2 linked regions of the Drosophila melanogaster genome follow. The protein of the gene in region 1 interacts with the protein of each later gene in a pairwise test. Each region holds a gene or a part of one and is shown in the gene's direction. Other genes may lie near its edges. The genes, in order: CG8508 and CG14535.

Region 1 (9,961 bases):
CGATGGGGACCATCGACTGCTTGTTAATTGACCCACATTTGTGAGCTGAGTACATAATTAAAAGAAAATAAAGCGCGGGACGGTCCAAATAAACCCGCCGACAGGCGTTCGCACACATAACAATGACAATAATAATAAAAGTGAAGTTTCATAGCGAAATTACACACTCGAACAGAATTAAATAAAGAACTATTACGCAGTGGTGTAAAATAACCTGTTCTTGTTCTGAATAAAAAACAAGCGGGAGTGTTGCGTGGTAAAATATAATGAAATTTAAGTTTTTAAGACCATCTATAAAATATTTTTAAAGTACTATAATTATATGGTAATGCGTAGCAAAGTATTTCCGAAGCTTGTGGACACACCGTGCGCTTTTTACTTACCCAGTGAAATAACAACTAGCGGAAAATAATGCATATTAATAGCGACTTTTTCACATATTACACAACTGCCGACATTTATCAGGCATTAATAATTACGTGTTAATACGTGAAATATGATTAAATTTTTATCAGTTTACATGAATCACTTTCGCACGTTTGCGTGCGAACAAGGACATTTTATTGGCTTCATTTGGCGACGGACCGCAGAGAAACTGACGTTTGCCCAATCGGAATTACAATCGCAATGCCAGTGGTTCTGCGTCATTTGGCATCCTATATCCCTGTCCACAAAGCGAATCCTTTAGCCTGTCCATTTGCCTGCTGTGAGTGGAGGGGCGTAATACACTGCGTATACGTAATGGGGGTGCCCCAGCGTATACGCAATAAAAAGTGGTAAAGCCGAGCGATGGCACAAGGATAACCGCCTGCGCTGGCCATTAAATGCAACAATAAATTCGGCAGTTCAACTCCAGTCAACTTCGTTGGCATGCCCGAAATTTAATTAGTTGGCATTTAACATTAAGCATTTCCACTGGCGCCGCGGCTGTCATTGGGCTTTGTTTTCGTTTTGCTTTTTATGTTATTTTTCAGTTAATTAAACGCACGCCAACATCTCGCCATTCTAAATTGTGCGCAATTAAATTTGGAATTACTTTCAACTGAGTATTCGCGTAGCTCTCGCCAGCGGCGCGGCAATAACTTAACTTGAAATTTTATTGTAAGCCCCTGCCTTGCCAACTGTCACTTTTGATGGGCAGCCATTGGAGCGTAATTAGGCTACTACAACGCTCCTAAAAACCCCTACCCAAATTACCAACCCCTTCTCACTACTTGTGCCAAAAAGCTAACTTTAACTTTTCCAGCTTGGCAAGCCTTTAAGTTCGTACCTAACTTCGTTTGTCTGATGCTCGAAAGTGCACTGTCTGCCGGCTTCATTATGCAAAATGCAATGGTACACAAGCCGATGTGAAGAGGCTGCTTGTCTCCCTTATGAGTTGCACTGTTCAGACTTATCCTGGCCAGAATGGTATTTTTTTGGGCCCTGATGGTGCCCAAGCACTCACACATACACTGCATACACTGATGGCATTTTCATAATCGAGAAAAAAAGGTACCGAAAATGTATGTAATGCCAAATTATTAAGACCCAGAATGAGTAAAAATCTTGGAAAGAAAGAAAATTTCAAACTTCAACCCTATTAACTAACATTTATTACATAGAATTACAAAAATATATTGTATAATTATTCTCAAGGCAGGGCATGCCCACTGCGACTTGGATAAACAATAACAGAGATTCTCTTACACTCGTATATGTTTTTCATATCACCTGCGAAGAAAGCACACACACAGAATCGGTGTGTCATGAGTGAAAAAATAAAGGAGGTGAGCAGTTCGTGTCTGTCTGTGCCAAACGAGGTACGAGTGCAATATTTATATTATTGCAGCTACGGCGCCACATTGCAGCGACATGAAATGTTTGGCGTTGCATAAAAACCAAACTTAATGTGCACTCCCACGGGAATGAGGATGAGTTTATTGCTTTTGCGACTCGAGGTAACGCATTCTGTCCCGTTTGTGTCTTCTATGGGACTGAATGATTGTCACAATGAGTAACACCATGATCACGATCAGGATCACCACGCTGATGGCCGACATGCTCAAACTGACCGATTTGGAGGCCATTGCAAAGCTGCTAAAGAGGAAAATTAGTTCCATGGAATCTCCTAGCTTTGAAAATGAAACGCCGGTTAGGAAGTAGTAGGTAGAAGCGCAGTTAAACAGTATCATAATCAAAATCATGGCCACCAGCTGCAAAAATGGGATATTTAAATGTTCGAAATTAGACTTCACCTCCATTTGGCCGACCACCCACCACCAATCGCATGTGCAGACGGGTCCTGGAATAATTCGAGTGGTATAACCAGGTGCTCATGGCGTAAATCAGGCAAATGTAGGCAGTTCCCACGCAGACCACTTGATGGCCCAGCTGCTCATAACTGACGTGGAGGGGCAGGACGTTCCCAAACACCGACGCGTTCAGCACGGAAATGATCTGCGGAGCAGATGACTGGGGTGAGTCACAAGGTCAGATATTAGATGGCAGTCAGGTGCAACTAACCGCCGTGAGGAATAGCAATAACGATACGATTTCCTTGCGGGAGAGTAACATAATGGACGTAACTGGTAATTTAAAAATACTGCAACAGTTACTGATGTTTAACTCAAGGATTGATAAGTCATTTTCTACTACTCATTTTTAATGTGTATTATTCCAACAGGAATGATGGAGTAATTTTAGGTGCATCCGTTTGGTGAATTGCCAATCCCCTGCTGTTGTAGCTCTGTTCTCACTTCATATCCTTTCGAACAAGGTCGTGTTCCCGTCTTCCTAGATTGCCGGCCTATTTGATGAGCGCAAAATCATCGAGAACAAATTGAAATTTGCACCCATCGTGGAAGCTTATCTGCGCCACGCAGGCACTTGCAATGCCACCCATTCCACACAAATGGGAGCGGCAGGCAGCCGGCGCTAATTCATCAACAGTAAAGGCAATTTAGATACTCATCTACCGGATATCGACAGCCAGGCAGCCGGCAGAAGGCACAAGGCAGCCATGTAAGCAGATACCCTCGTCCTGTTCCGAGGACTCCAACCCATCCATTCCGGCGGCTGAGAGCAGCGCGGAGCGTTCTGCAGACAGGGTTTCATAAAATATTGATGGACGTGAAGTTGGCAGCGCATACTCGCTTCCTGTTCCGTGTCTGTCGCAGCCATAAATAATTTGCTGTAAATGCAATCGTGGGGTTACGTGGGGCATGGCATGGGCTACCCTGTGGTTCGAAGTGGGCGCTTTGGGTGCCAGTGGGTGGTGGGAGGTGGGTGGTCATCCGACGGTGGGGGCAGTGGTACGATGCTAATGGCAAGGCGCACGGTGCGAAAGTGTTTCGTATGAATTATTCGCCGGCAGCCAATTTGGAGTCACGTTTGCCAGCACAATTGAAACTGAACACCAACCATCGAACCACCGGCCATAGTGTCAATCCAGTGCTGGCGATTGCAGATAAGAATAAATAGCTATTTCAAAGGGAATCTCGAGTATATATAAAATGAAGAAAGCTTTGGTTATCTAGCTGAATGCAAGGATCGATTGTCTTATTAAAATTGATCAATAATTGTTAAAGACATAATCAGAATTTTTAGAGCAAATAAAGAAACGTGAGAATATTATAATTATTTTGTTAAAATTCAGTTTTATGGATATGGTAAATGTCTTACAAATATATTTGGCTTCTAATCTCTATACATAATATCCTTGATATTCTTAGCTAATAGCTAAGGAAAGTCTATTTCAACAGCACTGCCTTCCTGTTGTGAACCGCCTGTCGAAATGGTGTAATTTGTTATGTCTGCCACTGTAGCCGACCATGTCTATCTTCGGCCCGGGCTGCTTTTTAATAGCCATTCTCCTGCTGGCCGACTGTTGCTCGGCGGTTGTTGTGCCTTTATCGCCGGACTGCCTCCACTCCACCGTCGCCTACTCCTGCTCCTGCTCCTGAGTTCGTCCTGCGCCGGCAGGGTAATGTGTATTTAATGACGCCATCTCATGTACAATGCCCGTATCCGTTCTGCCATGATCCTGGCCTTGTCGACGGACACCGGTTGTCCTCCAGCGCCTAATGTCCAGTGACCGCAGCCATCTGCAGGATAATGCCCCGGCTCCTGGTCGACGGGTGCCAATAAAGCTGCGCCCGCTGGCAGGCATTTCAATTTCGTGCCTGCCCTGCTTTTTTCAATATTTTTAAACGGCAGCCATAAAACGTGAGCGGTAATGTGCGGACAAGGCTGTTTAATTGTACCCCTGCCCTCAGGGCAATCAGCAACTGTTTGTCTCAGATTACGATGGTAAGTCTCTCGATGTGTTTAAACAATAATTGAATTTAAGTACGTTCTCCAAACAATAGAATAGAAGCCCAGAAGAGCAATTCATATCTTGAAACCAGTGCACTGGCAAACTAGTTTGACATGTATGTTCGCCAAAAATTCTTAAATATTATATACTTAATGAGATACAATAGGGTTTTTGGTAATTTTGGGCAACCAAGACATACAGTATCTTTATAAAATCAAAAGGAAATTATGATAACTAAACTTTTATACACAGCTTCCATATCTAGTGATCTTTATTTTCTAGTCATTATCGCAATCTTATTATTATCACTCCGAATATCATCATATTTTTTTTGTGTACATTACTAATATATATTATCCCTAAATCCGTACAGGGCAACGATGAGTCTAAAGGATCTCAATCTGACCAAGGAGCAAATGATCAAGCTTCAGCAGTTGCTGGCACAGGAAATAGAGGACGAAAGCCAGCAGGAGCGGAATGAGCTATCAAACGATGATTTCATAGCCAATGCACTGGATAAAGTGCAAGTTTATGTGGAGGCTGGTAAGCCAGAGGCTTTTGTCCAGCTCAAAGAACCGCTATTATACAAATTTAAGATTACCTCAAATGGAGTAGCTACTGGATCTTCGGAATCGGATAAGTTTCAACGCGCAGACGCCAAGGAAATTGCTCGCTGGAAATCTGACCATGTAATAAATTTGGATTGCATTTCAGACGAGGACTACGAGCAGTTAAGCCAAATTCAAACCGATGAAAGTACTGGAGAAACCTACATGCTCGTGCCCATTGATATAAACATACTCATTGACGATACCGAAATAACTCCTGATACTTCCACAAAGCGTATCACCGAAAATGACGCCTACAATGCGACGGGAGCGGGACACACCATCTATATGCATCCCGAACAAGAGGGGCATCAGACTGGTTTAGATAGAAATCCTCAAGCTAAACACGCTTGCCCGGCTCCGCCAGAAGAGCAGACCAACTACGACTACCACATGCACACTTTCGAGGTGCCCAAGCTGAGTTTTCCCTTTGAACTCAAGTTTGGTATTGATACTGATCGATTGGTGGGTGGCAATGTGGATAAATCGGCTGAGGACTCGGGAAAATCAGATCACGACGACGATCTGGGGGTAGCTACCGAGCTTCAGGACGTCCTAGAGGATTTAGAGGTATAAAGATCATCTTGCTTTTTAACGCCATCAAGGAAATCATTTAGAACAACAAAATTTGTAACTAGCTTTCCAAGTTAGGTGCCTCTCGTTAACTAAATCTTTGTCTTAAATTATAAATATTTTATGAAATTATGTACAAGCTAAAATAATGCTACAGTATTTACAACTTTTTTTCGTGTAAGCATTCCCATTTCCTAAACGTAAGTAATGTGATTTAATTTAGTAGACCCAATCTAACCGATTCAATAAGCGTTCGAATTGCTGTTGCAGTAATAATAATGCTCTTAAAAGGGGTTGGTAAGTAGCCTACATGTTCAAATGCTTAACTAAATGGCACTTCCTCTCAAACAATTGCACCTAATTGCAGACACTTGACCTAAGCTGCATAACAATGACCGTCCACCCAATTAACCCCCCGATATCGGACTTATATATATATATATACATATCGACCAGCCCGCAATGCAATCTCATCCCCTGTTCAATACAATTTCCATTCAGCTTGCAGCACGGCAAAGAGAATATGATAAGAAGCAATGGAAAATTTGCATAAAGCTTTTAGCCTAACGACGCGACATTTGTTTTTTATGTGATTCATGGACCACCCTCACTTTATGTTCATTTTTTTCCATTTTCATCGCAGAATGCAACAACTACCAACTTCCGCACAATTATTCAGCAATTTTAAGCACAACAATCGGACGGCAGAAGGGGTCGAGCTGGGATCTGGCGGAGATCTGGTTGCATGCCTGATTGCCTGGGGGCCAAAAAGCTAGGTCCTTCGATTCCGACATCGACTTGGTCGCTTAAGCAGATTGAAACAATCTCCGGGCTGGGTAAGAGCTTATAGCCCTCATGGACAAAGGGGGGAGGAGGGTTTTCTTTGGCTTTTAACTTTCGCCGGGACTGCCATTATTATTATTCTCCGGCGTCTGCCTGCAACTGTCAGTTGGGTAATTTATAATGAAGTTTCCTTATTGACAGTGGCAGCTTCCCTTCGAATTCCTGGCTCCCGATTCACGATTCGCACTTCCGCTGCAGCGATTCTCCTGCAGTTGGGCATAAATTATGGATGCCTCTATATAATATATCGCCATAAATTGCTTGTCAAGTCGCGAGTCGACAGGCGAGCTAACTAAGATGCCGATGCCGATGCCGATGCCGGCAAACAAATAACAATCAAAATCACTTTTCGACCCCAAGTCGATTTATTTATATGGGACGAAATCTCGGTACTGAGGCCTTAATCGCTGAGGCCAGCCGCATCATGAGATCGTCAATCGTTTTGATTTATTGCTATTTTATTTGCGCATATCCTTATTTGCCTTGGCCGCAAACTTCGAACCCCAATCAAGGCCGAGACTATTTTATTGTTCGATAGCTTATCAGGCAAAGGCAAACAGACTGAGCGCCTTGGAGGCCGGCAAATATCATAATTTTCGCAGGACACGCTGCCCTGTGTTTGTGTTTGTGCTGGTTTCGTCCTGTCACAATGCCGTGCAAGGCATAAATCTGAATTAAATACCATTTTGAGCTGCTCGCAAGGAGTAGCTGGTCGGAGAAAATGTTTATATTCAGCACATTGTCACTTGTTGTGGCCTCTTTCTTGGACTCAACTCAACTCAACTCTGGGCCAGAAATTCCGCCGGGAATTGCTGCTCAGTGGCCCGGGCAAATAAATATTAATCATTGTGTAATAATTTTCTGCTGTCAGCTAAATTCAAGCAAAGTATTCATAATCCACAAGTAAGAACCGCTTTTGACAAATCGCTTTGCGGGCCACTCGCATAAATATTTATATTTATATTCCATGTAGGCCGGCAGTTAAAATGCTTTTAAAGTTGCCGAAAGTTGGGCGCCAGTTGCTGATTTGATTTTTTCAGCGATGTTTCCATTTGTTTTCTCGCCAACTTTCGGCAACTGTAAATCAGTTTGAGATCCTTTGATGTGTGTTTTGGGCTTGGGTTGCGAGAAACGAGATTGCAATAATCAAAATGTAATAAACAGAGGCTCTCACACATCCGCTTTCAACTGGTCGGGTCAAAACCAAAATGTTCTTTATGCACGGGTCCTTTGTACGTGATTGTGTGAGTGTGAGACCTTCTCATCTTGTCCTTTGTGTGTGTGGCTCTCAGCATTCGATGCACGTAACGCATTGTTTGAATTTCATGGCGACTTTATGAGTTTTGTAATCAGGTTTGTGAGCAAACAGACCCAAAAACACACACGCAGCCTAGCACTCACGTGTTAACCTGCACATAAATATTGTTTCTGGTCGTGGGCTCACCGATTCTCAGATGTGGGCGTGTTGACAAGCCGGCCGAGCAGCCAACCGCCCGTTAATGCTAATGAAACCCAAAGTTTGGGCTCGCCTATTAAGCCATTTTGTGGTCTGCAAAATCCACTTAAAACGTCTGGCGGCAACAAAATATTTTATTGCATACTCTTATGCGCAGACATTACCTGCACCTCTGCCTCAGCAATCGGTAAAAATGTTCAACAATGTGATTTATACACGCTGGAAGCACTTAAAACTAGACACACACTTTCACAATAGACTGGTCACACCCCCGGAACGCCCCTTTTGTTGTTTGCTGGCACTTTTGGAGCTCTTCCAAGGATCAGAGCTTAGTCAGCACACATGGAAAAAAAATCAGACACATTTTAAACTGTTAAACTTAAGGATATATACATAGATACAATATAATTTTAAATCGTACGTTAATCATGGTCTAATTCTGAAATGCTATTAGGCAGTTCCTTAAGCAGATTCTTTTATTGTAAAATAATGACCTCGTTATCCTTGGTTTTTTTTCTCGGTGATACTCTATTGTCTGTTTGCCAAACAAAAGCCTCTCTGCAGTTGATGACTAGAAATTAACTAAGCAGCAATAGCAGCAGCAACAATGTTGCCAAGACCGAAGCAATGGGGCTGTCTCAAAGACCGGAGGCCCCACCCCCACCACGGAAAGCAAACAAGTAGTATTTCCAACCCCTCGGCTTGCAAGTCTAGCTATCGGCTGTCCACTATGGAGCATTAAATAAATATTTGCCATGCTCTGCAGGAATTTTGAGACCCCAAGCCCAAGGAACACATCCCTGCCTGCCTGCCTGCCCGTCCGACTGGGAAAAAAATATTCTAAATATCATATCATCAGCATTTTTCGATGGAGTCTCGCCCTGGTTTCCATGGGGCCATGCGGTTTCGGGGGCTGGGATCGTCCAGTGTTTACCATTTATTTTTTGATTTGGGTATTTAAGGTGTAGATGGATGGGCCAAGGCGGGCGTGCGTGTCCAAAAGAGTGTCGCAGTGTGAGTGCGGAGGGGTGAGTATATGTGTGCGGTTGTGTAGGCAGCAGAGTGTTGACAACTTAAGTGGAATTTTGCTTGGTCGAGCGTTGCAAGCATTAGCTTTTATCAGATGACATTAATATTATCTGAAGGACAGTTATTAGTTGGGTTAGAAAGAGACGCATCCTACATTAGACAACTAAGAAATGCACTTTTTAGTCCAATATTTAAATTTATATTCATTGCTCGCCAAAACATTAGTTGAACATAATCTAAGTCTTCTTACGAACGTGGTGGTCGTACAGTATAATGAAACCATATAGATTTGACCTGATCATAGAGCGTCTAACGTTGCTGGAAAAGGGGTTCTTCTTGGTGGTAACGGGTATGTTCTTGTGATCTCCCTTGTGAGCAAACATAAGACCATGTTCCGGATGAGCTACCACCGTATAATTGTCGTTGTCATTCGCAAAAATCTTCCTGGTCTTCCAGTCGTAGAAGACTATATCACTCGGCTGGGGCTTCAGCAACTTCCGCTCCTCGAAAACCGCCTTCCAATCGACTGCATTTGGTCCCTTGAACCGGTAGTTTCGCAGACTGGCCTCAAAGTCAATGTAGCCTGACTTGGAGAACCCACTTCGTCCGCTTATTTCCAGAAAGATAATGGTCTGCAGGTTGGGATCTTCTACTATAAATGTAAAATGTAAATCTTAAAAGTTTTTACCGATATCTCCTGCTGGACATTCCCGTGCTCGCGTTCGGCCAATGCCCAAAGTGCTGGATCGGTTCCCTTGAAGTACTGACTGTAGTATATCTGGGCAGAAACCGTTGGATTCAGGAGCTGTTCCACCTGCTTTTTCACGTTTAAGAACTCATCCTCCTCGTAGAAAGTGCGGTGTTCCCGATAGCCGAGTTTTGTGAGAGTAATGACCGTTTTGTGGAAAGGTAAGTACCGAAAGTCCTCGACGGTCGTAAAGGAGTGCAGATACTCCTGATAGTTGTTAAACTTGGCAATGCTGAAGTCTGTCATGATGAGCAAATATTTTAGCACCTAATCGTTTTCTACAAAAGTGTATTTTCTGTGAAAGTTAAATCTGTATCTCTGATTTAGGAACGCTGGACTGCTAGGTGTGCCACTTAGCTTAATATGGGTGCCGCAACTACCACAAATTTTGAACATCAGTTGTTCAC
Region 2 (11,186 bases), on another chromosome or scaffold:
AAGCCAAAGCCAAGAAACGGTCAGCAGACGTTGCAGTTTCGGTTGGCTTTGCGGTCGCCGTTTGCATCGCAGCCAGGAGCTGCAGCCTCAGTTTCCCCACCAGATCATGACTGGCCAAACTTTGGACTTGGCTTAAACATTTCAATTTCTTCATGGCTACATGCTGCTGCCGCTCTTTGCCAACTGCTCAGCCAACTTGGCCGACTGCTCGGTCGACTGCGGCAGCAGCTGAGGCAGCTGAGGCGGCTAAAGCAGCAGCGGTCTTGATCGTCGTCTTGAATTTTACTTAATTTTTATTTCACGCGCTGCGCTGCTATAAAAGAAACTGCAACAATCGTTGTGGCATGCAGTAAGAGGTTCCGCGTCGAAGCAGCACCACATTGCCAGTAACCAGTAACCAGTAACAGCCAGTAGCACCTAGCCACCTGGAGCAGTGACAAAACCCGAAACGGATATACCCGAAATAAGCCACCCGAAAATGCATTCCAGTTGTGTGGTATGATCTTGTGACCAAACCGACCAAGTGGCCGTGATGGACATCGCTTAATGGTGTGTTCTCCTCCGATCTCGTTCGCAGTTAGTGGTCCTCATGGCCCTGGCTGCCCTGGTGGCCGCTCGTCCAGAGCCGCCTCGTGACTCGTACAGTGCGCCCCCCTCCAGCAGCTACCAGCCAAGTGGACCCAGCGGAGGCTACGGCGCCCCTGCGCCCCAGTACGGACCTCCCCAGCAGGCGCCGGTGATTCACAAGCACGTCTACGTCCATGTACCTCCACCAGAGCCGGAATACCAGGCACCCAGGTGAGTGGCAGGATCAAGGATCCTCTAAGCCAACATAAGTTCCAAAGATCGCGAGTAGAATAGGGTTCCCAATAAACCTATTCTTCAACCAAGTTCCGGAAAAGGATCTATGCATACTCGTTTAAAATTTTTGTCTATACTAGATGATAATTATATCAGACCTAAAAATGGAAAAAATCTTTAAAAATGTTATTTTAGACACATTCAGTTTAATCACAAAAGATACGTATTTAAGAGTTTAAGTAATAGTAAAATTATTTATTTTGCATAGTTTCACAAAATAGAAATCGCACTACACTCCCAACACAGTGAGTGAGTGAACAATCGAGAATTTCTTCTGATAAGCCGTACAATATAAACGTACATCCTGCGGTTTTTTTCATTTCACAACGTAATCAGTTCAAATTATTCACACCCCTTATCCAGCACACTTTTTTTTCGACTTGCGTGATTGTGAGCGGTTACAAACGATCTCGCTTTATTTGTCTTGTTCCACTTAAGATTGGAAAAATATGGGGAAAAAACACATTGTTGTGTTATGAGTATATAATCCAAGGCACTTATGCAGATTCTCTCACAATTCATCGGCGTAAACCAGGCAGTGCCGTCAACTCCCAAAGATAATAACTAGACAAATGTTGCAAGAGACCAGCCGGCAATCATCTAATCCAGCTCAGGGCCCTTTTCCACAGCTGTTGCCACATTTCCAGGGTATTTAGAGGGTCGCTTAAACGGAGGAGGAACATTATTTAATACCCGCGAAAACGAAAGCCATCCAACTTTCCTCTCTTTTCGCTGATACAATGTTTTCTGTCGTCTTCTGTCTGTTTTCAATTGGAGTTGGAAGCGATGTTAATTACCACGAGAGGGGAATGATATGGCTTTGCAGACCGCCAAACCGTGACTAAAACGTTACCTAAGCTCGCCGCAGCACTTGTACTCGTATATATCTCAGTACCATTTCCAAGCAAATTATCAGGCGCAGAGGGACAGGAACTCGATTACCATAGGTAGCTTTATGTAAACCCTCGTCTCGAGGCGGTTGTTGTGACAATCGCTGTCATCGTCACAATAGTCATCATCTTCATCTGATTAGTAAAACTGACAAGCAGCTGCAGTGGGTTCAACGTTGTCGGGAGGTCACCATTTTCGGGAGGTCACCATTTATGGGCATGCCATTTGCATGCACCTCAAAGAGAAACTCCTTTCTCCCGCATCGCGGTATTTGTTCGTTCAACAAGGCAAGGTTATAGGAAGTGTGGAAAGTCATTCCAGCCTGGCCGTGTGTAATTGAAATTTTTTTATTCAGTATGTAAATTTTTACAAGCCGGAAGCAAAAAAAGTTGCGTTATATGAGGATGTGGTGTCTTACTTTACCCATAGAATTCCTAAGAAATTCCTTAAATACAGATATAGCAGAACCTTTATTTAAATACATTTTTAAATATTTTCCCAGGAAACCCCTTTACGTGCCACCTCCGCAGAAGCACTACAAGATCGTCTTCATCAAGGCGCCATCTCCACCAGTACCGACCGCCCCTGTAATACCGCAGTTCCCACAGAACGAAGAGAAGACCCTGGTGTACGTGCTAGTCAAGAAGCCGGAGGAGCAGCCGGAGATCATTATCCCAACGCCAGCTCCCACCCAACCCAGCAAGCCGGAGGTGTACTTCATCCGCTACAAGACCCAGAAGGAGGAGACCGGACCCTATCCCAACAGTGTGGCGCCTCCAGCGCCCGAGTACGGAGCTCCAGCTGCCCCGCCCGCACCCTCTGCTCCCAGCAGCTCGTATGGGGCACCATCCCACTAGGCGATCCAGTCCAACCCGAATACCGATTTGCTTATCTCAACCCAACTCATGGCAAACTGCATATCTTATGTGTATTGTATTATTTTCTGTTTCAAGGACCTTAACGCGTGACAAAGTTTACCAAGCAACGAATCTCCCCCATCCCCTCTCCACACCCAGCTCATAGGATTATTACTCCTATAGATGAGTAATTCTTATCTCTGATGTTGTTTCTACCTGATGTACGAGAAGTATGTTTTCCATCTAGGCTGTTTGTTTCAAATTGTTTGTTTAGTCTTAAGTCTAGGTCTTTAAGCGAACGATGCGTTATACACTCACACAAAACACTCGAAACACTCACTGCGAGCTAGCCTTAGTTATCGATAGAGATATCGATCCTGATACCGATTAACGATATATACGTGGTACATGATTTTCATCACAAACGCATTTTCAAGTAGGCAATTTATTCCAATTTCATATTGCACATTTCGCACACGATTTGTCATTAAATAGAATGTGCGAAGCACTCGAAATGCAACAAAAAAAAATGAAGATTAAAATGATACTCAAGTATATAATGTTAAAAACACAAAACATCAATGGCTAAATAAAAGTTTAACGAATTATCTGTACAAGATGGATTTCTTTTTGTATGTTTCACATTGCAAGTCTTAACATATGTGTACATATATTTATATATATCTGTTTACTATACATTTTCATTTGCCTCGCAAATGTATTTGAAATCAGAAGTACAAGAAGCAACCCACATGCCACCGTTATGTATAGAAACGCAACGCTGATCTACATGTTCGTATAGTGGCTCTCCAGGATTCCATTTCAAAAAAGGTGCTCTCTTTCCGGAGGACACAGATATGAAAACGCCCTTTTCAGCCAGATCACTAATGCCAATCATATAAGTGTTGTCTTTGCTTAGTTGCGAAACGATAGCATTAAAGTCTGCTTCATTTATAATTGAGGCTAGATTACCTCCCATCTTTTGACATGCGCTCAAAGCACTGGTCCAATTTTGTTGGACTATGTCTTCGATGTGCAAATATCTCGATCCGATTCGCTTGAACCTATGTAAAATATTTATTTTCGCAGACATATTCTTCAGCGACGTCGTTATACTAGTCAATGCTTCCTGTAGGTCAGATAGTTGACCCTCCATCTTAAGTTCTGACCTATTGGTTCTGTTCTCGATATCCTCTGCAATGATCTTCTTCCACGATTCCGTTAGCGATGTCTTCTGGCTTTCAATTTCTTTTTCAATATCCCTCTGTTGGGCCTGTATTTCTTGCAACTTGCAGGTTTTCCACTGTTCCTGGTGCTGGGCAATGTGACCGATCAATGGCATCAGCGCTTCGAGGCTTCGACACGATCTGTCTCCTCGCATCCTGAAGGTGATGCATTTATAACTATTGCGATAATTGCGTAATATAGGAGAACTTTCAGCTGGAACATGCTTAGCAAATTGAACCTCTTTAGACGAACGTTTATAATGCACTAAATGTGAATTCCTATGCTGCAGTCTGAACAGCAGCGCAATATTGTTGATAAGAATTTATAGATATAATATATATTTTACTGGAAAAATAAATATCATGCTAAGTATTTTCAGCTTACGCTAAAAATAAAAAATAATATAAGCTATAGTGATAATTATGACAACAGCGCAATATGAACAGCAGCGCAATATTGTTGATAAGAATTTATAGATATAATATATATTTTACTGGAAAAATAAATATCATGCTAAGTATTTTCAGCTTACGCTAAAAATAAAAAATAATATAAGCTATAGTGATAATTATGACAATACTTGGATTGAAATTATATATAAAAGCATATCATGAAAATATATTAAACAGTAGTACAGATAAGCAGGAACTTTTATGTTAAATATAGTTTAACGATTTCTTATTTTCATTGCATGTTAATGAACTCAAGATTCAAACTACAACGCCGTTGGCGTTGCCACGTTATGTTCGCCCGCCAGATGGCGCCGCAGCTAGCCTCCAAACTGTACGCAAGTGCTTCTCAAACTTTTTATCTCCATTCACCGAACTTGAGCTTTGTTTCGTTTATTTGCTTGCGTTTTATTTTCTTTGGCGCTTGGATTGCATACAATTTGATTTGCTCGATGCGGAAAAACGATTTTCACGGAATTTCCCTTAAGTATTAAGATAATTAGTAGCGAAACACCTTAAAACGGATTGGATTACAGCCCTTTTCCCGCAGCCACCTTAATAACAATCAGCCGGGTCCACTTTAATTGACCCGTTACCGTTGTCCACTTGGTGAAAAAAAATGGAAAAAAAGTAGAGGTAAATCCGTGCAAGCCCCATCCATTCCGGTGCACACATGCTTTTAAACCCGAACACACACTCAACAGCTCCTTCACGAGCCTGCCAAATGTAAGCGAACTTAAAAACACATCGTTTGCATTTGGCCCCTCTGCCCACCACTCACCCATCCCCATCCACGAAAAGCCCCATCATCACCTCACGCCCACTCTGCCCCCTGAAAAAGCCCCCTCCATCAGCAGAAACTCCAAGCGGCACTTAAGTGACGCTCCAGCAGCTCAACTATCACCATGTCCATATTCCTTTTATTCCAGGTACTCACGCAGAAAAAAGGTATATTGTATTTGTACTGTTGCATCCCAGAGGCGGTAAAAGCTATGGATTTCAATCTTTGAATGCTAACGCCTGCACTTTTAACTCAATTTTTGGGGATAACCAACTTTTAAGTATTTATAAAAAAGATTTTGTTATCTATTTCTTAAGCTATATATTCTTTTAATAGTTTAGTAATAGTGTTTAAAAATATTTAACAATGAGACCATACTTTATAAATTTTTTTTTTTTTTAAGTAAAACATATTTTTTGTATAATACATTACATTATTGTTTTAAGGTAAAGAAATAATGGTTACTAGCGTTTAAAGATCGAGTGACCATGGACATCTTCTAGTAAAGACGAGGTATCACTCTATTTTAATGTTCCTGGCCAGTGAGCATTTTGACGTCTACAATATAAACATCATTTACGCTGTTCCTTTTGTTTTAGCCTCGCTGATTTTGTTTACCTGAGCCTCAAAGCCACTGTCGTTGGCCGAAAGCAAGAGATTTTCCGAAAGAGAGTGAAAGAGTGAAAGTCCGACTACCCTTGGGGTCAGCAATGTGGCGTTACCATACGCGATTCGCTCTTTCTTCTGGCACGCCTGCGCCAAAGAGAGGCGGAAAACTCTTGGGAAATTCAGGCCCAGACCGAAGACCAAAACCGAAACCAAAAACCCGACTTCAGTTGCCATTGTAATGCCAACGCAATCGGCACGCGTTTGGCTTTCGCGCCTGGCGGGTTTTTTATTTATTATTCGCTAAAGTGACAAGCCAATACAAAAGAAAAACAACAAAGCTCGCTGAGAATCGGGGAAAATCCCAGTGTGTTGAATATAAAGTATAAATCATGTGCGAGGAAATCAAGGCAATTTGGAAAGTCGAAGGAGTTGAGCCAAAGATGAAATCAACAGCGAGAAATTGCCAGTCATAAAAAAAGGGTTTGTGTTTGTTCCTGTTTCGTGTGTGTTTGCGTGCCAGTGTGCTTGTGTGTGTGTGTTGTGCCAAAAGGGAAATCCCTTAACCCCCGCCTACCCGCTACCCCGCAGGACCCTTAACCCCTGACTTCAGCTAGACTCCCCTATTGTGCGTCGTGTACAATTAGAAGGCATTGCCAATCGATTTGTGTGAAAAGCCAAAGCTAAAACTCAAAAGGTGGACGACGCCAGTCCTCCAATAAAAAGCGAACTGAAACCGGGCAGGCAAAAAAAAAGTAAGGGACAAACCCATATAAAAGAATGGAAAAGCTGCCGAAGAAGTTCCCTCCAGTTGGCAGGTGCGCGTAGCCTGAAAAATGAAGTTGAACCGACCCGAAGTTGTTGCCTGTCATTCAAAGGGGATGGCAATGGAATGGCAATACAGAAGAGGCCAGCGTGTATGGAATGGGGAAATTGGGGCTGGGAATCGGGGGACAATATTAATGAAAGACGTTGCAAAAACGTCACGTTTTCCCCAGTCAAATTGAAATAATAATAATGAAGGCATTGAAGAAATGTCACGGCCCGCGACTGACAAGTAAAAATGAAGAAATCCAGTGGAATTTGCATGAATATCTCAAATATATGTAAAGTTCAGCACAACAAGTAAAGTTAATAATTTCAGTGATATAAAACATAACAAGCACGATAAGAAGCATGCCCCAAAAGCATGCCATTCCGATATCTAAGTTTGAGTGACACGCCTTAGAAAGCCCATCCCAAAGGAACATTTTAAAGATGTTCAGACAGTTCCTCAGAGAAATGAAATAATAACTTAATTAAACTCAAGAATAAAAAAATAAAAATTTAAAAGTTAATAAAGCTTTGCAAAAGCAACGGAACCTTTACCAGAAATATTGTGTGACTATAACAAATTTAAATTTAAGGTATTAGAAATTAAACCACATTTAAATATATAATCAATTCTAACAGTAATCATAGAAAAGTTTTTAATTAATTTTTTAATTAATACTGTAACTAAAGTCCTAATGTTTTCGGTAATAGAATGCAAAACCTCTAAAACACTTTATAGCTCCAACAAAGAACTGAAAATTGTTAAAAGTCTGGGCTTAAAACTTTTTTTAATGACCGAAAGGAACTTAAAAGCGTGTACATAAACTTTTCAAATAGAATTAAACTGATGTGAAATACGACAGTCCCAAAAGAACACTAGAAAGACAACGAAGCGCATAATTTCCCACCATAAAAGCCCAAGCAAATTCAACATAAATTTGATTTTATGCACAAGATGCTACAAGTGAATAAAACACGAGCTTAGTGACAGTGACAGTGCGAGCGTGATAGTGATGATAGTACAGTGAAGCATATGCCCAATAAACAGATGGCCCATAACCATAAAGCGAAAGTGTTATGGCCATTACCGAAGGGCAAGGACCCTTCTTGGCGGCAGGACCAAATAACTTATGCCCATCGGGCCGAACCGAAATCGCAATTTATGACAGGCCCAGCAACTATTTAAAGAACCATAAAACCCCCAAAAAACAAACAAAGTTTATGGGGAGTGACGATTGCATTTTAAGATCCCCAGACATAAAACAAAAGCCAGGATTTGGGCCTCTTATTAACTCCCAATTTTATTCGTTACCCCTCCCCACAAAAGGAAACGCAAGTGCTTCCAGCAATAAACTTCCACCGCCAACTGTGGCGAACAATAGTCAAGGAACCATGGCCACCACCAGTACGTCAAACATGTCCCGCAACGGTGGCTTCTGTGGTGCATTGCAGCGGGCACCGCCGCCGATGCCGCCGACCCTCATCCGACGCCTGAGTAGCCGGGAGTGCTACGGAGTGGGCAAGGTGAAGGTCATGCTGCGGGTGGCGGACCGGGACAGGAACTCCGGCGGAACCGAGCCGGACTTTATGGCCCTGGACAAGAAGAAGCGACAGGTCACGCTCACCGATCCGAGAACCGCGTGTCCGCCGCCCCAGGCTGCCCAGGAACGGGCGCCCATGGTGGCCGCTCCCAAAATGTTTGCATTCGATAACCTCTTCACTGGCGAGGATAAGCAGGTGAGTTTCAACCTTAACGAAAATCTGAATGGAGTGCACGTTCACACATGGATGTTGAACCAATTTATTTAAAGCATCCTTAGATCCAGAATAAGTTTAAGAAATAGGTATAAAACATCATAAGTATAACATCAATTAAATCAAGTTGAAATATTCTAAAAATCGTTTGAAAAATATGTAGTTAAAAGTATTAATTCTAATTTATTTAAATGTAAATAGCAAATTTGTTTAAATAATAACAAACAAGAGCAACCGTTACCAAGTAAACTAAATACTTGATTGGTTACTGTTGACACACAGTATAATTTAGGTGGCAAATAACCCTTATTAACAGCTATTAATTCTTGATAAACAAACAAAAGGCCCACCTAATAATAATAAGGGTAATACAATATTGACAATAAAACCATTCATTATGTACAAAAAACTACAAAACTTCCGGCAACTGAGAGTTAACACTTTGCCAGTGTACTTTGCTTTTCTCAAAATCAACAAAACTTTCCAGACTTCTCGCGATGTTATTTGTCTGCAGAAAAATGTCCCTAACGTAAATATTGAGTTGCAATTATAAAAGTTAAATTGACCGTGGGAATCCTTTTGTGAGAAGGGCACATCTGTGCATTATATGAATAATTTGGTGCAAACGATAAATGTCTGGATTTTTTGTCTCGAAGCTATGCCATTTAACTTGTTAAGAGATTACAAAAGAGGTGTTAGTAATTCCACAGAATAACAAGTCACCACAAAATACCACAATCAATCTTCATAATACATAGCAAGCAAAGTTCCTTTTCAAGATTTATGACCCTCCAAGTGCAATCACTCATAAGGCAATCCCTCAGACCGAACGAAAGAAATACCCCCAATAGAATTAACACATACGCGTATTGTCCTGCCCCATCGGATCTAATCAGCAATCGAATTAACCCCGCAATCGAACCCAATTCCAGCCATTAAAGAGAGCCCATTAGTATGCCTTGTTAGCCACCACCCACTGACCTCCACTCCACACCTATTCGTTTTCGATAAACACTAAGAAAAATGCTTGGTGCTTGTAAGGAAGGAAATTGGAAAATATCTTATATCATTTATATTTACTTATTGATACCCATTGAAACCATCATTATTATAAACTCCTATATATTACCATTTAGTTAAGTTCTTAAAAAAATGCCCAACCTTTTAACATTTTCTCTCTGTGCATCGTATATTCCAGTCGGATGTGTGTGCATCGGCGCTGAGCGAAGTGATACCCGCCGTGCTCGAAGGTTCCGATGGCTGCCTGCTGGCCATGGGATATCCCGCCACCGGCCAGGCCCAAACGGTGTTGGGAGAACTGGGCGGTGGTAGTGGGAGTGGCAGTGCCAGTGGCAGCGGTGTGGCGTGTTCCCTGGGAGCAGCACCCTGCGCCATCGCCTGGCTGTACAAGGGCATCCAGGAGAGGCGGCAGAAGAGCGGAGCACGCTTCTCGGTGCGGGTCAGTGCCGTGGGCGTCAGTGCCACCAAGCCGGATGCCCTATCGCAGGATTTGCTCATCTCGCATGCAGCCGGTAAGCATATGGCAGACAGGAGGGGTCTTTGGCCAGGATCGGGGGTACATAGCTCAACGTTTCCAGGTCAACTACTAAATGTGCCACTATTCATTATAAGCTGAAGGCATTCCTTTCTTTGTAAGAAGTAGTTGTCTTTATTATTTGTTATTTAAGTTGAGTTTAAATACATATAGCTATACTGCTCACTTCGAGATACTTTTATGCTCAGCTGTAATAAACAATGATTTTAGAAAATTCTTAAGCATAAGAAGGATTTTTTATAATCATCAGATTCATATATATAATTTTATATGCTTCTTTACATTATTATTTAAAATGATTAACTTGTACAAAAAACATAATCAAGACCTAAATACATATATATAATCAAGATTAAAAGTTGACTTAATTAACCAAGGCCAGCGAGTACTCAGAAAAGCTAATATTCTTTGGGTGTGTTTGCTTCTAGTTACCCGCTTTAACAGATCTTTGTTTAACTTGCCTTTTCCCTTAATTTCGGGTAGTTAGTAACTGGCAACTGGTCCACCTGTTAGATGCCAGCGGGCAGAATCGCCGGCAGAATAAATGGCTCCGCTGTGTGCGGTTGCAGGGGGCGTGGCATAATGTTGCCCCTGGGCCAAACAATGATGATGATGACTGGGGCGGGTCGGGGTCGTAACTGGCCCAATTTGAATAAACTTAACCTGGGCAGCAGTTCCGACACCAACCCCACCTTCTTATCATCAACGGAACAGCACCCCCACCTTATCCCCGTAGAATACGGCGTTTATTCCCACATAAAACCTAATGCCCTTTTCATTCACTCCCCGCTTCTTTTTTTTTGGTCCCAATACTGGAACTCCGGCTCCGACTACGGCTACACAGAATCTGACGACTCCCCGGGGATTTATTTGCGTGACGACTTCCTTGGCGGTCCAACGGAACTACGTGCACCCACCGCCGAGCGTGCGGCCCTTTTCCTCGACTCAGCGCTCGCCGGACGCTTAAAAAGTTCCGGTTCCACGGCATCTGGGAGTTCTGGATGTGCCGCCCCCTTGGAGTCCGCCCTCATCTTCACGCTGCACGTCTACCAGTACAGCCTGTCCCGCAAGGGAGGTGGTAAGTGTCCAACACATTGTTGTTGTCGTGCCCTGCAAAATTTGGGGTGTTGGTCTAAGTTCTGGAGCAGTAAAGCTTGTAAAAATCATAAAATATGGCAACTACAATGTATTGTATAGATACAGTACAGCTACCAAAACTTGAATATGCATCTTTAAGAAATTGTATCCATATTATATTTATTTAAATATTTTTGAACAGCATTATCATATTCCAAAAACGAATTATTAGCCAGTATCTTTAGGATTACCTTCTACTCTTCTTTTTCAATACATTTCTTTTTTAATTTTCATACGTGGAAGTCTAGAATCCT

What was found.
Region 2: the proteins of CG8508 (region 1) and CG14535 interact in a two-hybrid assay, tested with the Drosophila melanogaster proteins (one large-scale study listed by BioGRID).

Annotation. Positions count from the first base shown.
Region 1 is NT_033777.3:13,181,185-13,191,145, reverse strand, and holds CG8508 (uncharacterized protein), read left to right. Parts: upstream 1-4,649; 5' UTR 4,650-4,677; coding exon 4,678-5,481; 3' UTR 5,482-5,620; downstream 5,621-9,961. Other genes in the region: CG14380 (uncharacterized protein), read right to left, coding at 1,920-2,195, 2,260-2,439, 2,506-2,556; CG8138 (uncharacterized protein), read right to left, coding at 9,043-9,438, 9,495-9,800.
Region 2 is NT_033779.5:7,849,993-7,861,178, reverse strand, and holds the start of CG14535 (uncharacterized protein), read left to right. Parts: upstream 1-5,703; 5' UTR 5,704-6,155; intron 6,156-7,812; 5' UTR 7,813-7,877; coding exon 7,878-8,222; intron 8,223-9,438; coding exon 9,439-9,772; intron 9,773-10,639; coding exon 10,640-10,873; intron 10,874-11,186. Other genes in the region: TwdlE (TweedleE), read left to right, coding at 479-496, 578-798, 2,255-2,609.